Diceros bicornis minor: one gene and its partners. The protein of the gene in region 3 interacts with the protein of the main gene of each other region in a pairwise test. Links are inferred from orthologs where the notes say so. Each region holds a gene or a part of one and is shown on either strand. Other genes may lie near its edges. The genes, in order: ISCU, KANSL1 and NECAB2.

Evidence for each region.
Region 1: the proteins of NECAB2 (region 3) and ISCU interact in binary tests that used the Homo sapiens proteins (3 or more experiments, as listed by UniProt). The two-hybrid records come from large-scale screens. The link is inferred for Diceros bicornis minor from reciprocal best matches to the Homo sapiens genes NECAB2 and ISCU.
Region 2: the proteins of NECAB2 (region 3) and KANSL1 interact in binary tests that used the Homo sapiens proteins (3 or more experiments, as listed by UniProt). The two-hybrid records come from large-scale screens. The link is inferred for Diceros bicornis minor from reciprocal best matches to the Homo sapiens genes NECAB2 and KANSL1.

Annotation. Positions count from the first base shown.
Region 1 is NC_080774.1:18,771,996-18,776,162, forward strand, and holds the start of ISCU (iron-sulfur cluster assembly enzyme ISCU), read right to left. Parts: upstream 2,979-4,167; 5' UTR 2,964-2,978; coding exon 2,850-2,963; intron 1,245-2,849; coding exon 1,131-1,244; intron 231-1,130; coding exon 120-230; intron 1-119.
Region 2 is NC_080757.1:44,760,849-44,765,015, forward strand, and holds the start of KANSL1 (KAT8 regulatory NSL complex subunit 1), read right to left. Parts: upstream 2,726-4,167; 5' UTR 1,660-2,725; intron 1-1,659. UniProt on the Homo sapiens protein: Non-catalytic component of the NSL histone acetyltransferase complex, a multiprotein complex that mediates histone H4 acetylation at 'Lys-5'- and 'Lys-8' (H4K5ac and H4K8ac) at transcription start sites and promotes transcription initiation.
Region 3 is NC_080771.1:33,094,483-33,098,649, reverse strand, and holds the start of NECAB2 (N-terminal EF-hand calcium-binding protein 2), read right to left. Parts: upstream 2,672-4,167; coding exon 2,453-2,671; intron 1-2,452. UniProt on the Homo sapiens protein: May act as a signaling scaffold protein that senses intracellular calcium.

The DNA of each region.
Region 1 (4,167 bases), on a different chromosome or scaffold from region 3:
AATGATATTTTGAAAAAATCATAGTTACTTTTTTTCACTCACTAGACCCTTCCCTTAACTGAGAGCCAGGTTTGTGGGGAATTCGATTTACTTGCCGTCCAATTGGCAAGCAACCTTACCGTCTTCCCTTTTACCCATTCGGTGGCTAATGAGCTGGAGGCAATGGCAGAACCACAGCCAAATGTTTTAAACCTGGCGTCCACGATCTTCCCCTTTTCATCCACTTGAATCTAGAAAAGAGACAGGAGTTAGGCAGTGATTCCTGAGATGCCCTGTAGAACCTGGCCCTCACCGAGGTTCACCGGGGCTCTCCCCAAGAGCTGTGGTCTTTCTTTCCACACTAAGTTTTGGCACTAATTACCGCGCTTGCTTTGTTTCAAAGAGCTCAGTGAGGAAAAGTTAAACGTGGGAACAACTATACAGAATTATACAGGCTTAGCTGGTAAAGATGAGCTGAAAAATATGCCCCCTCCCTAGTTTTTTTTGCAATGCTAGCCTGCTTTTTGGCTATGAAGTTCTGCTCACAGCTGCTGGGTCAGTCTGCCTCTTTAAGCACTGGGACGGTCTGCACTAAAGGTCTCTGGTTATTGCTTTTTTCTTGGCACCAAGTTACCTTTAGTGGTTCCCTCCTGCCTTGTTTCTGTTTTCCAAGATAAGCATGAAAACCTCTGGCAAGGTGCCCACCCACCATGATGAAGTAGATTGTGCATAAAGCTACGGTTTCCCCAAAGTGCCAATCACTACCTTCAGGTTGTTGCCAATTTGGGGGAGGTTTGATTTATTACATTTCTTGTCTCACTGAGGGTGGCTAGCTGAACGGTTGTGGTTTTCCTTCGATCAGTAAAATTCATAAAAACTTTACTTCGCTGAAGCTGGAATTTAAGCTGATCCAGTGACTAGAAAAGGGAGATCAGTTTACTATATCAGAAAGGGTCAGCACAGTCTACTAGCAGGGGGACTAGCATTCAGTCCTTGCTCTGACAATTTATAACACTGACTCACCCCATCTCACAGGAATCAAGATGGAGTCTGCACGAAATGCTGTGTGTGCGCATGCTTTGTAAACAGTGAAGCTCTGTGTAAGCAAAGGGGTCACTGTTATTCACATTCAAGATCAAAACCGGTCCTACCTGTAGTTTCATTACATCACCACACGCTGGAGCCCCCACCAATCCAGTTCCCACATTTTTAGATGTCTTGTCAAGGGACCCCACGTTTCTAGGATTTTCATAATGATCAACAACCTGAAACGAAAGGTTGAGAGCAATCATGACTCTTTTTTGGTACTGGTCTCCCCGACTTGACAGTAAGCTCCCGGAAGTCGGCAGGCTGAACCTGGCAGGCGATCACTAAATCCCAAATTTCACCCTGGTAGGAAGGCTTACACCTCTGTCAATGACAACCATTTGCGACCCAAAGTCTTTCTGTATCTCCTCTCCAACTACCTTCAGAGATTTGAGATACGAGAGAAAAACCAGCCAAATCATGTCTTAATTCCACAGGGTTTTTAACCACACATAATTACTTGACCTTTAACCACCTACGTCACCAGATTTGGGCTCAAACAGTATTTTTGTTATTTCCAAATAAAATCCATTTTTAAAGGTTAATGATTACTATTCAAAAATTCTAAAAATAAGTACGGGTCAGAAATGTAAGGCTTTCCCAGAGCCTCAAGGAGACTGTTACAGAAGGAACAATGCTATGGACCCTGTGCATTTGTGTACGATGATAACATCAGGCCTGTTTCTGTATTTCAGGGCCCTGAAAGCCCCCCGGTGCAGCAGCGCCCCCTGGTGGCTGGAAGGCTGCTAGCTCGAACTCATTCAGCGTGAAATGTCAACAAAACACACCCCCGGGAGGCGGAGGAGGGAAGTCCTTGGCATCGTGAAGCCAGAAGCGAATAAATCTCTCTTCACACTGGCACACACGCTTTAATAGCCTTGGGTCCGTTTACCAGTTAGCTCTAAGTATCCCGATCTTCCAGTCTCCTTTCCCCCACCTCTCCGACCACGGACTCGGACTCCAAGCCCAAGGACCTACAAGGTCATGTCCAATCTGGACTTTCTGCCCCATGTTGATGTACGGCATTCTTCGCTTAGTTTCCGGAGTCAAAGAATCTCACGTCTAGGGGACTTTACGCCCCCAGAAGGCAAGGGCTGTAAACGTTGCGCCTATTCCTCTCCCCCTCCCCCCACGAAAAAACCAAAACATACATAAAAACATTATGACTGCTGGTTACGTGTCCGACTCCGCTCAGAGGCTCCTTCCTACCACAGTAACAGCTGCGGCACCATAAACGGTCCCCGTGTGCTAGGCATCACGCCGAGGACTCCACGAGCATCACCTCGCGTAGATCTAGAAGTGCTAAGACCCCCATTTTACAAATGGGGAAAAGGGCTCGGCGAGGGGCAGTGACTTGCCCAAGGTCACTGGGCCCGGGCAGTGGCCTGGCTGGAGCCGGTGTGCGTGTCTGGCCCCGGATGCGGCTGGCAGGTCCCAACAGGCCCCCGACTGTTGGGAAGTTAAAGGCCGGGACGCGAGACCCCGCGGCGGGCGGCGGGCCCCGGGCGGCGGCGGCTCCACGAGCCGCAGCCGGTGCTTGCTTCAGGCGGGTTAGCGTTCCTGCGCAGCGAGGGGCAGGGTCGAGCGAGGGGGCGGCCCCTCCGTCCGGGGCCGGGCGCCGCCCCTTCCCCCGCCGTAGCAGGGGCTCCCCGGCCGCGCAGAGCCCCGCGGCCACTCCTCCCTGGGCTGGGCCTCCGCCGGCACGCCCGGGGCCCCTCGGCGGTCGTCGCACTCCCGCCCCCCCGGCCGGCGCGGGCCCTGCGCGCCCCCTCGCCCGCGCCCACCTTCTTGTGATAGAGCCGGGCCGGAGCTGACAGCTCCCGGGCGGGCAGGCGCGGGCTCCGCAGCAGCAAGGCCGACGCCGCCCGCCTCAGACGGCCCGCTCCAGCCGCCGCCATCTTGCGGGCTTGCGCCTGCGCAGGCCGAGCGCGAGACCGAGGGGTGGGGTGCGCCCGCAAGTCGGCTCCCAGCTCGGAGCGCGCTTCCTCCTACGTCACCGCGACGTCGCGCCTGCGCCCTCTCGCTCCGTGCACGTGTCCGCGCTTGGGCCCCGCCCCTCAGGGCGGGCGGGGCTCGGAGCTGGGAGCTGTGGGGTCGCAGGCGGGTTTGTTCTCGGCGCTGGGCTCTGTATCTGCTAGGATCTCAGCTTCCTGGAGTGCGGGACCTACGTTCGCGTTCACAAAGCCCACCGCCGGAATACGGCGCAGAGCATCACCTAGTCCACCTTTCTTCACTCTGTTTTGCAGCTTAGGAAGTTGAGGTTCAGAGCGACTTAGTAGCTTGTCTGAGGTTGCCCAGAGTTTGACTCAGTGGGGATTCAAACTCGAACAATCCTGTTAGAATCCCGGTTCTGCTTCTTCCTGGCTGTGTGACTGTAGGCAAATGACATCAGCTTTCTAAGCCTTGATCTTCTCTTTTGTACTAAGTCAAGGCCAATTTTTTCATCCATTGAGCAGATATGTGTTCAGTACCTATCATATGTCAAGGCGCTATACTAATAGGCTTTGGGGATCCAACGGAAAGACATAGTCCCTGCTCCATTAAGCTTGCTAACGAAGGAGGAAGGCAATAAATGAACACGCCAATACTTTCCTACCTCAAAAATGGGAAGCTTAATTAGGAAGGAAACGAACACCATGCCCTGATTAACAGAAAAATGCGTATATTTATGTCCGCGTCTATTTCAATATAAAGCAAACTGGCACAATTTATATGACAATACCTGGCAGTGAAGAGTTTCTGAATAAATGTTTAGTCATGTAATTTATTAATATTGGTTTGCAGAATACGGTCTTAGAAAACGAGAAATCTCGCACGTGTTATTTAACGCCTGCTAGGCACCAGGCATTACATAAAGGGGAGGAATCTCTTTGGGAAATGGATTTTTCTCGTGGATGGTGCAATCGATACTTCCCAGAGGACTCGGAGGTTTCTCTGCGTTTGACGCTCAGTTGCTGGGGAGACTGAACCACGCGCCAGGTTAGACGCAAGCAAGGCGTTTATCCCAAGAATCATATTGACCTTCTCAAGATGGCTCCAAACCCTTAACCACAGTCATCACGCTCCCTCCATGACGTCCTCTAATGGCCTCCACTTCCGGTC
Region 2 (4,167 bases), on a different chromosome or scaffold from region 3:
ACTACAGTTTTTAAGTTTTTTTAAGGAATAAAAGGAGGAGGAAAATGTCAGCAAATAAAAAAATTGTTTAGACTCAGAAGAGGTCTTCCACTGATCAAAGGATTGGTAGGGAACATAAAATTAAGGCAGCCACACAACTACATTGTTAAGTAGTTAACAGGTAGCAACTCACAGAGTATGGAGTACTGACTTCCATTCTGTATTTCTGCCTTGCCAGAGGCCTTTGGTACAACTTCAGGAGTTACTGTGGAACTATATTATAATACCCTAGGTTCAGAGACTGAGAGGAAAAATCTTAAACATCATTTCATCTTAAAAAGCAGGCCTCTATGTACCTAATACATTAATTAAAACCAAGGAAACTGTAAAATAAAATCCAATATATTGATCCCAAATTCCTTGGGTTTATAGGGAACTAGTACCCACTGATATCCTCTTGACTGCTTCCTAAAGAGAACAGAGGCCACCAGGTCCTGGTGCTAAACACTGATACCAAAGAAAAATAGTTTCGTGCAAGCTTCTCCAATTCCTATGAGTTCAGGACTTCTGGCTGGGTTCCCCCACGCAACCCCTCCAACTCTACAGGGAGAATGGCTTCCCTTATACTAATATAAGCACCCATCACCCAACAATAGCAGCTAGAACATAAATGAAGATGAGAACTCAGTCTGCATTTACCTAAAGATTTCCCACAGTCCAAATATTTAAGTGACACAGACTGCATTATTGTCTGATTTATTCACTACATTAATCTGGAATTCCACAGGGCAGATTAACACACAACAATCTTAACTACACTAGTATCTAGCTCCAAAGAAAGGCAACACATGTCACCTGGTGAAGCTGGTGGAGGACTCCATCACTCCTTATCTGTCTCTCTCCATCCTTCCTCCTACTTTCCTCCCTACACGTCTTAGGCTTTGCCCTCTGCTTAGTCCTATTGGAGAATCCTTTGGCCATCTATATAAAAGAGATTGGAAGGAGCCAAGAGCCTGGAGAACCACCACATCAATGAGAGCTTTCTCATCTAAAGATCATCTGTCCACACTGCCCAGAAGAGGTTTACTCTGTGAGATTAAACTTGGCACAAAGTGCTCTCTGTTGAGAAAAATAGTGTAAATTCTCAGGCAAAGGACTAGGGAGCAGCAGAACTCTCCAAAAGAGCTGTACATGTAAACCAACAGATCTTAGAATGTTCTAATATACTATATGAAGTTTCAGAGTAAACAAATGGTTAATGACACATCTTTTGTAACACATGAATCAGCTACAGATTTGCAAGAGTGGGACACACCCTAGTACCTATGACTGTTTCAAAAGTGGACCTGGATGTCTGAATTGCCAATCCATCCCACTGAGATTGGAACAGAATTGTACAACTAGGCAGGATGTCACAATTTAAAGTTAAAAAATAAACACATCATGATAATGAAGTTAATTTGAGAACTTCATTAATATTTTAAGACCAATAATCAATAGTAGCAATACAAAGTAAGGAATAGCCAATCAGTCCTAGGAAGCAAACACAATAGTAGTTTTCCAGGGGAAAAGAGTGTGGGTGAGAGGGTTGAAGGACTGCAAATTTAAGAACGAGAATATTCTCATTTCTAAAGGAAAAGAAATAAAATGAGGCCTTTAATTTAAAAAAACACATCTTACCTTAAGAGGCATCCAAATAGCATTCATAGTGTCAGGAATAGTTCAGACAATACTCAGAAATGAGCAAGAAGGGAGTTGTAGTAATCCCTCAGTGACGAAGTAGGAGCAGGTAGAAAAATTTTTTGTTTCAAGAAGGTATCTGAAAGAGAGGACTTGCATTTAGACTAAAAAATAATCAAGAATAAGCAAACAATTTAAGCTATCTAGACATAGATTTGAAGTACTACTTCCTTCACCATCCTAAAAAGATGTACAAAACAGTCCCCTTTGGGAAAGGGCAAGTGTGTGTATCTCCATATATATGTAGAAATATATTTTACATAAAAAGTGGATTAAATGTGTAACACATACTTTAGATAATACAAAATTGCTTATCAAATAATTAGAAAACCATTATCCCAGATAGAAAAATGATTATCCAGCGTACTTCATAAACACGATTGAAAAGTCATTTGTTAACTGACCTTTTAAGAAAGACCCTTGTCATGTTTAATTTTTATTTAATAAATTAAAACCGCTCTGATCATTCCAATTGTCCTAAATTTTATTAAGCTTGTTTCAGAGTCGAATTCTACGTGAAAAATAAAATCTATTCTTAAGTGCTAGTAGCAAATAAAAGACAGAGATCTTTAAAAGCAGAACAAACAACTTAATTTTGAGGATGGGAGGAAGGCAAGTTTGCCTGCAGGTAGGAGGATGGCTTAAATGACCTCTTGTAGGATCCTTGTTCAAGTCCTCGGCCTGAATGAAAATTCCAGCTTAACCAGTTACTGCATCGCTTAAAATGGAGGCTTGCCCGAGTAGGGACAAAAATAACAGCACCCACCTCTGAAAAATAAATTTCGAAAAATCGAAGACTACAGTACCCTCATTTTTAAGAAAAATTAAAAATAAAAACCTCTGGAGTGGATTTGTTCTTGCTATGCGTTTGTCACTTCGGCTACGAAGACTTGGCATCACTTTCCTTACCGGTCGTCAGATTTTTTTTTTTTTTGCAGGGGGGGTGGGGTGGTTTGACTCTTGACCCCAGTCTCAGGAGGGTTTAACAGCCCCTCCATGATCCCCACCGCGAAAGCCAAGAGAAGAGAAAGGAGAGAGCCCGAGTTCCCACCCCTCCCCCCACCGTGGACCCTAGTCCCAAACCTACCCCCCCCTTCCCTCAGAGGGGCGCCTCCTTCTGCCCCATGCCCATTGTTAGGGCGGGGGCGCGGGGGGAGTGGGCTCAGGGCAGGGGCGCCTGAGGCCGTGGCCCCGGCTCGCTTCAGGAGGGGCGGCCCGCAGGATGCAGCTTCCCTTCCTCTCGGCGTCGGTCCGTCCCACCTCGGCTCGGCCTGGCGCCCCGGACTCTGCTCGGCGCCCCCGGCCCGGGGCCCAGCCCAGCCCGCCCCCCGGGCACCAGGCCCCTGGCCCCTCGGCCGGCAGCCCGCGGCCCAGGCCTGCGGGTGGGCGCGGAGCGGGGGTCCCCGTGCCCCACACACGCGTCCGCTCCCCCAGTCCAGCCGCTTCCAGGGCCCTCGGCGGCGCCCGCTCCCCGGGCCCTTCGGCACCCCGCCTCCCGGCCGGGCCGCCCCCTCGGGCTCCCGCAGTCGAGGCCGCCTCCCCTTCCCCGCCATCACCCCTACCGACTCGTGCCCCTACCCCCAGGGGCACCAGTGCCAACGGCTGCTCCCCCGGCCCCGGACCTACCTGCACGGCTCAACCAAGCCTAGAAGTGGGGGCGGGGAATCTTCCGCCCTCCTCTGTCTCTCATTGGCCCTTCCGGGGCACATCGTGAGCGCCATTGGCTGATGGCAGATGTCCGTCAGAGCGGTGGGGCGGGACAGAAGGGGGAGAGGGATGCTGGTGCCTCGGCGTCTCTGTCTCTGTATATCTCGCTGTCTCTGCCTCTGTCTCGGCTCTTGGGAACGAGAGACATTTGGACGAGAGAACTGGAAGGGGCCTGGAGGTGGGAGGGATAGAAATAGGAATCCTGGTAGACCTTCCCACCAATCTGCCACTCCGAACCCCCTACCTAAGTCCCCTTTAGATCCTCTTCTCCATCACCCCCAACCCCGGCCCCTCAGCCCTGTAGGTTCTTCATCCAGGAAGCGACGTGATGAAAACTCGAGCCGGAAGGCCATAGGGGGAGATTTTATATATGTATATAAAATATACACACACAAATACTTATGTATGAAGTCAACCAGATATAAGGTCATGAGGGCCTGGAAAGGAAAGGGTACACATCTCACAGACAGGGAAAGACTTTGAGATATAGCCAATATAAGAAGGAATCAAAAATCCCTCTAAGAGCTGGCAACAGTGGTTTCCTCCTGGGTGAGGAGCTGAGTGTCTAGGGGACCAGGTGGGAGGAAGACTTACATTTCACTGCATATCCTTTTGTGTCTTTTGATTTTTGTACCATTCACAAAGATTCCAATTTCTTTTAATTAATTGATTTAAATTTTAAAATAATTCTAAGGCCGCAAAACCAGGGGGACAGACAAGACGGTTGTCCAGGCAAAGTGA
Region 3 (4,167 bases):
ACCCCCTCCCCAGCGAGGAGACCCCGGCTGGGATCCAGGGGCGGGGAAGGGACGTTTCAGGCGGAGACCGCCCCAGCCGCCCGCGCGGAAGCAGCCACCCACTCCCTTCTGTGCCGCCAGCCTGCCCACGGCCACGCCGACACACACGCACACGCGCGTGGACACGCTCACACCCATCCACACGCCTGCGGGTGGACTTCCAGAGCTATCGGTCCACGTGGCTTCACCCACTGTCCTGTGCTCAGTCGCACACTCAGAATTGTGTCCCATGGGCGCAGCCACACGCCTTACACCATTGCACCCCTCCCAGAACCCCTGGGGAGCCCCGGTTTTCTCCAGGGAGGTTGGGTTAAGTCTGAAGGAAGGGGTCTGCTAACAGAACCTCGAGACCTGGCGAGTGGACCAGCCGCGGGCAGGGCTGGATTATTTTGGGGGTGGGGGAGTGGGTGGAAGTAGGCAGTAGGGAACCAGCTGCAGATGCAAAGTTCTGGCTGCATCATGAGGGGCTGGAGGCAGGGCACGCCTCCCCCCCCCCCCGCCCCCCCCCCCCCCCCGCCCCCTCCAAGCCTCAGGTGAGACCAGATAACTCCTTCTCTTGTTATTTTTGGGACCAGGTAAGCCATGCTGATTGATTGAGGAGGGGGAGGGGGAGGGGGAGGGGGAGGGCCCCCCCATGACCACCCCATCTTTGGTCCTTGCCTTGGTGCCAAGGGAGGATGCCCCCCCATCCTTCCACCAATGGGGCGGGCATCCATTATCAGGCCCCTGGGGCTGGGACAGACTGAAGCAGCAGCTCAGGGAGGGCTTCTGGAACATCACCCCCCTCCCTCAGCTGAACCCCGAGTCCAGGGCACCAGGCGGAACCCACTGTGGCTGGAGCAGAAAGGGAGGCAGTTATGGGACCACTCCAGGCCCTCCTCAAAGCCCCAGCCTGGGCGCCCCACACCCCTGCTCCTGACTGTGAGGTTCCTGAGGCCGGGGTCCCACCCTCAGGTGCCTGCTCTGGGCCGGGGTGTTAAACAAGGGAATGACAGGACCACAGGGATGCGGCTCGAGGAGTCTGCACCAGCCTGTGAGCCCCGACGCCCGCTCATCACCCCATTTCACAGAGGAGGAAATGCAGACTCAGAGCCCACACACCGCCAGCATGAGGACTCGAAGCCCACCTCCCGACTGTCAGAGAGAATCAGGAGGGGTCGGTGCAGGCTTCCCTACGAGGGCAGGCTTGCGTCTCCGGACCCTGTGGCCCTGGGCTTTCAGCGTGAACTCCGCTGGGGTTGAGAGGAGAGAGAGAGGGAGGGAGGGGGAGAGAGAGAGAGGGGGAGAGGGAGGGGGGGTCTAGCTGTGTAAGTGTGTGTCGGGCTGTGTGTGTGTGTTTGGGGGCACTGGAGCCACAAGCACTCAGAGCACAGCTCCCTTTCCCTACCCAGTCCTCTCCACCCAGAGTCAACTACGGTTTCCAGAAGAGAGGAGACCCACGGTCCCCCCACTCATAGGGCCGTGCAGTACACACACACAACACTCCCAGAAAGCCACCACACACACGTGAAGCACCCCATCCTGCGGCCACCCCCACCACAAAAGGACCCTCACTGGGACATGCATGTCCCACCACCCGTGATCTCACTGGGGGGCAGGAACCCCAGAATGAAGAAGTTTCCCACGGGGCGGCCATCCACCCTGTAGAATCTCTCTCCCACCCGGGGGAGTGCGTGGGGGGGGGGTGAAGTGGAGCTTTGAGTCCCAGAGGGGACTGGGGGGGGGCGGTGAATAGAGGGAGGGTGGGAAGGGAATGGGGGACAGAGGGGCCTAGGAGTGCAGTGGGGGTGGCTGGGGGGAGCCCAGGGGGTCCGGGATCAGCGAAGATGGGGGTGGTTTGGCTCCACTGAAAGGGGAGGGGAAGACAGCTGGGGAGGGGGCTTCACTTTTAAAGAGGCTGTGTCGGAGCGAAAGGGGAATACCGGGCTCAGAGTCTAAAGCCAGGACGAGAAAGCCGGCACCTAAAGCCCGGGGGGGGGGGGGGGGTTGTCTCTCAGAAAAGTAGCGACTCGGCAGGGATCCGGGGTGGAGAGGAGGAGGGGGCTCCGGTCTCAGGAGGGGATGAGAGTAAAGAGCGAGGCGCGGGGCTGGGGAAAAGACGACGGTTTGGCCAGCACAGAAGTAGGGGGGCAGTGGCCGGGGCGACGGGCTCCAGAGTCCCGGCTCCGGGAAGGTGGGGGTCCCGAGAAGTGAAGGGAGGTTGGTGGAAGGAGAGGTCGTCCTGGTTCGGGGACAGACCCCGGCCGGGACGTGACGGGCTGGGGGCTCGCGCTCTGGGGCGCAGAGGGGGATGGGTCGGGGTCGTCTGCGCAGGGAGGAGAGGACGCGGGTCGGGGCGGGGACCCGGGAGGGCGGCGTCGGGGTCGCCCCCGAGAGAGGAGGGGACTCGGGGTCCCGGCCAGCGCGTACTCACGTCCAGGATGACGGCGGTGCCCCCGCGCGGCGAGGCGGGGCCGGGGCCGGGGTCCGCGGAAGGGGCGGCGGGGGCGTCGGGGGCCAGCGGCGCCCGGGGCTCGCCCATCCTGGCGCCCACCCAGCGCAGCAGCCCGCCCAGCGCCCGGCCCTGCGGCGGCGGCTCCCGGAGCAGCCTGTGCGCGCCGGCCCTGCACAGGCGCGCCGCCCGCTCGCACATCGCGCCGCGCCCGCCGCCGCCGCCGCCGCCCGGAAGCCCGCCGACCCCCGCCCGGCCCGCGGCCCGCCCCCGCGCGACCCCCTCCCCGCGCCGCCCGCGCGCCCCGCCCTCCCGCTCTCGGCCCCCACGGCCGCGGCCACCGCGGGGACGGGCCGCCTCCGGGGAAGGAGGGGGAGGGGGGCGCTCCGCCCGGACCCCGAGCCACGTGCCCCGTGTCCACACCCCCCTCCCCCCACTCCCGCGGCCAGGCGCGGCGGCAGGGGGCTGCCCGCCCGGAGCGCGAGGCCTGGCGGCTGGACCCCGGCCCGGCCGCATGGGGGGGTGTTGCGCTGCCCAGTAGGCACGGGGTTGGTGGGGGTCTGGCTGCGTGGGGGGCATCCCTGGGGGCTGCCCTCCCGAAGGTCCCCCCACCCCACCCGTGGCGCCGCCGCAGGGGCCGGAGCTCAGGTGTCCGGCGAGCCTGGAGCGCCCTCTGCCGGCTCCAGCTCCCGAGATGAGTGCCCACGCGCGCGGGCTCCCCCATCACTCCCACTGACACCTACTCCTCCCTCCCGGGGGCGTGCATGCTCCCCCAGACCTCCGCCTCCCATTACACAAAGACCGGAACCAGGCTGCGCCCCAGAACATCCTCTTCCCCTCACACTCCATCCATCCATCCATCATCCACCCATCCATCATCCGTCCATCCATCATCCATCCATCCATCCATCCACTGGTCCAAAGGATTAGTTAGGGAGCACCCGATAGGTGCTAGGCCCCAGACCCTGTGCTAGGCGCCGGATTCCAATAATGGGCAAAACAGACTGGGTCCTTGGCCTCCGGGAGCTTACATCCAAGTGGGTGGAGCCAGATACTGGAACCATTTCACAAATAAATAAACCATTACAACTGAACTGCCATAAAGAGGTGGCACTTTGGGCCATGAGTGAAGGATTTGTCCTGGTGGCCATGTGGCCCTGGAGGGGTCTTCGTCAGAAGAGGCTTCCTAGAGGAGGTGATCCTTATGCTGAGAGAGTGGAAGAAGAGGAGAAAGAGGAAGAGAGAGGAGGGAAAATGCCCTGGGCTAGAGACCAGCCTGTGCAAAGGCCCTGCAGCAGGTACAAGCCTGATGAGGAACTGAAAGGAGACAGTGTGGCTGGAACCAAGTGGGAGAGCAGCAGGGACTAGGTTGGAGGGGTGGGAGGGCTGCAGAAGGCTCCCCAGCACCTCGTTTCTCCACACCCTCCCCTCACTTCTCTACATAGCTGTCCCCCACTTGGGGCACCATCCCTTATCTCCCAACCCCCCAGTCCAAGGACTTCCTCCTACATGGCCCTGTGCCCTCCCCCCAGCTCCCAGAGAAGGGTCCTGGGCATCGGGCCCCTCCCCAAGCGTAGAATCCTCAGACACATGAGTGGAGGCAGGCTCTGGTTTTATTTGGGACCTGATTCTGGAACGAGCGGGGCCTGGAGTCCTCCTGGCGTGGTGCTCAGCTGGCCCTGGTGATCCCTGCTCAG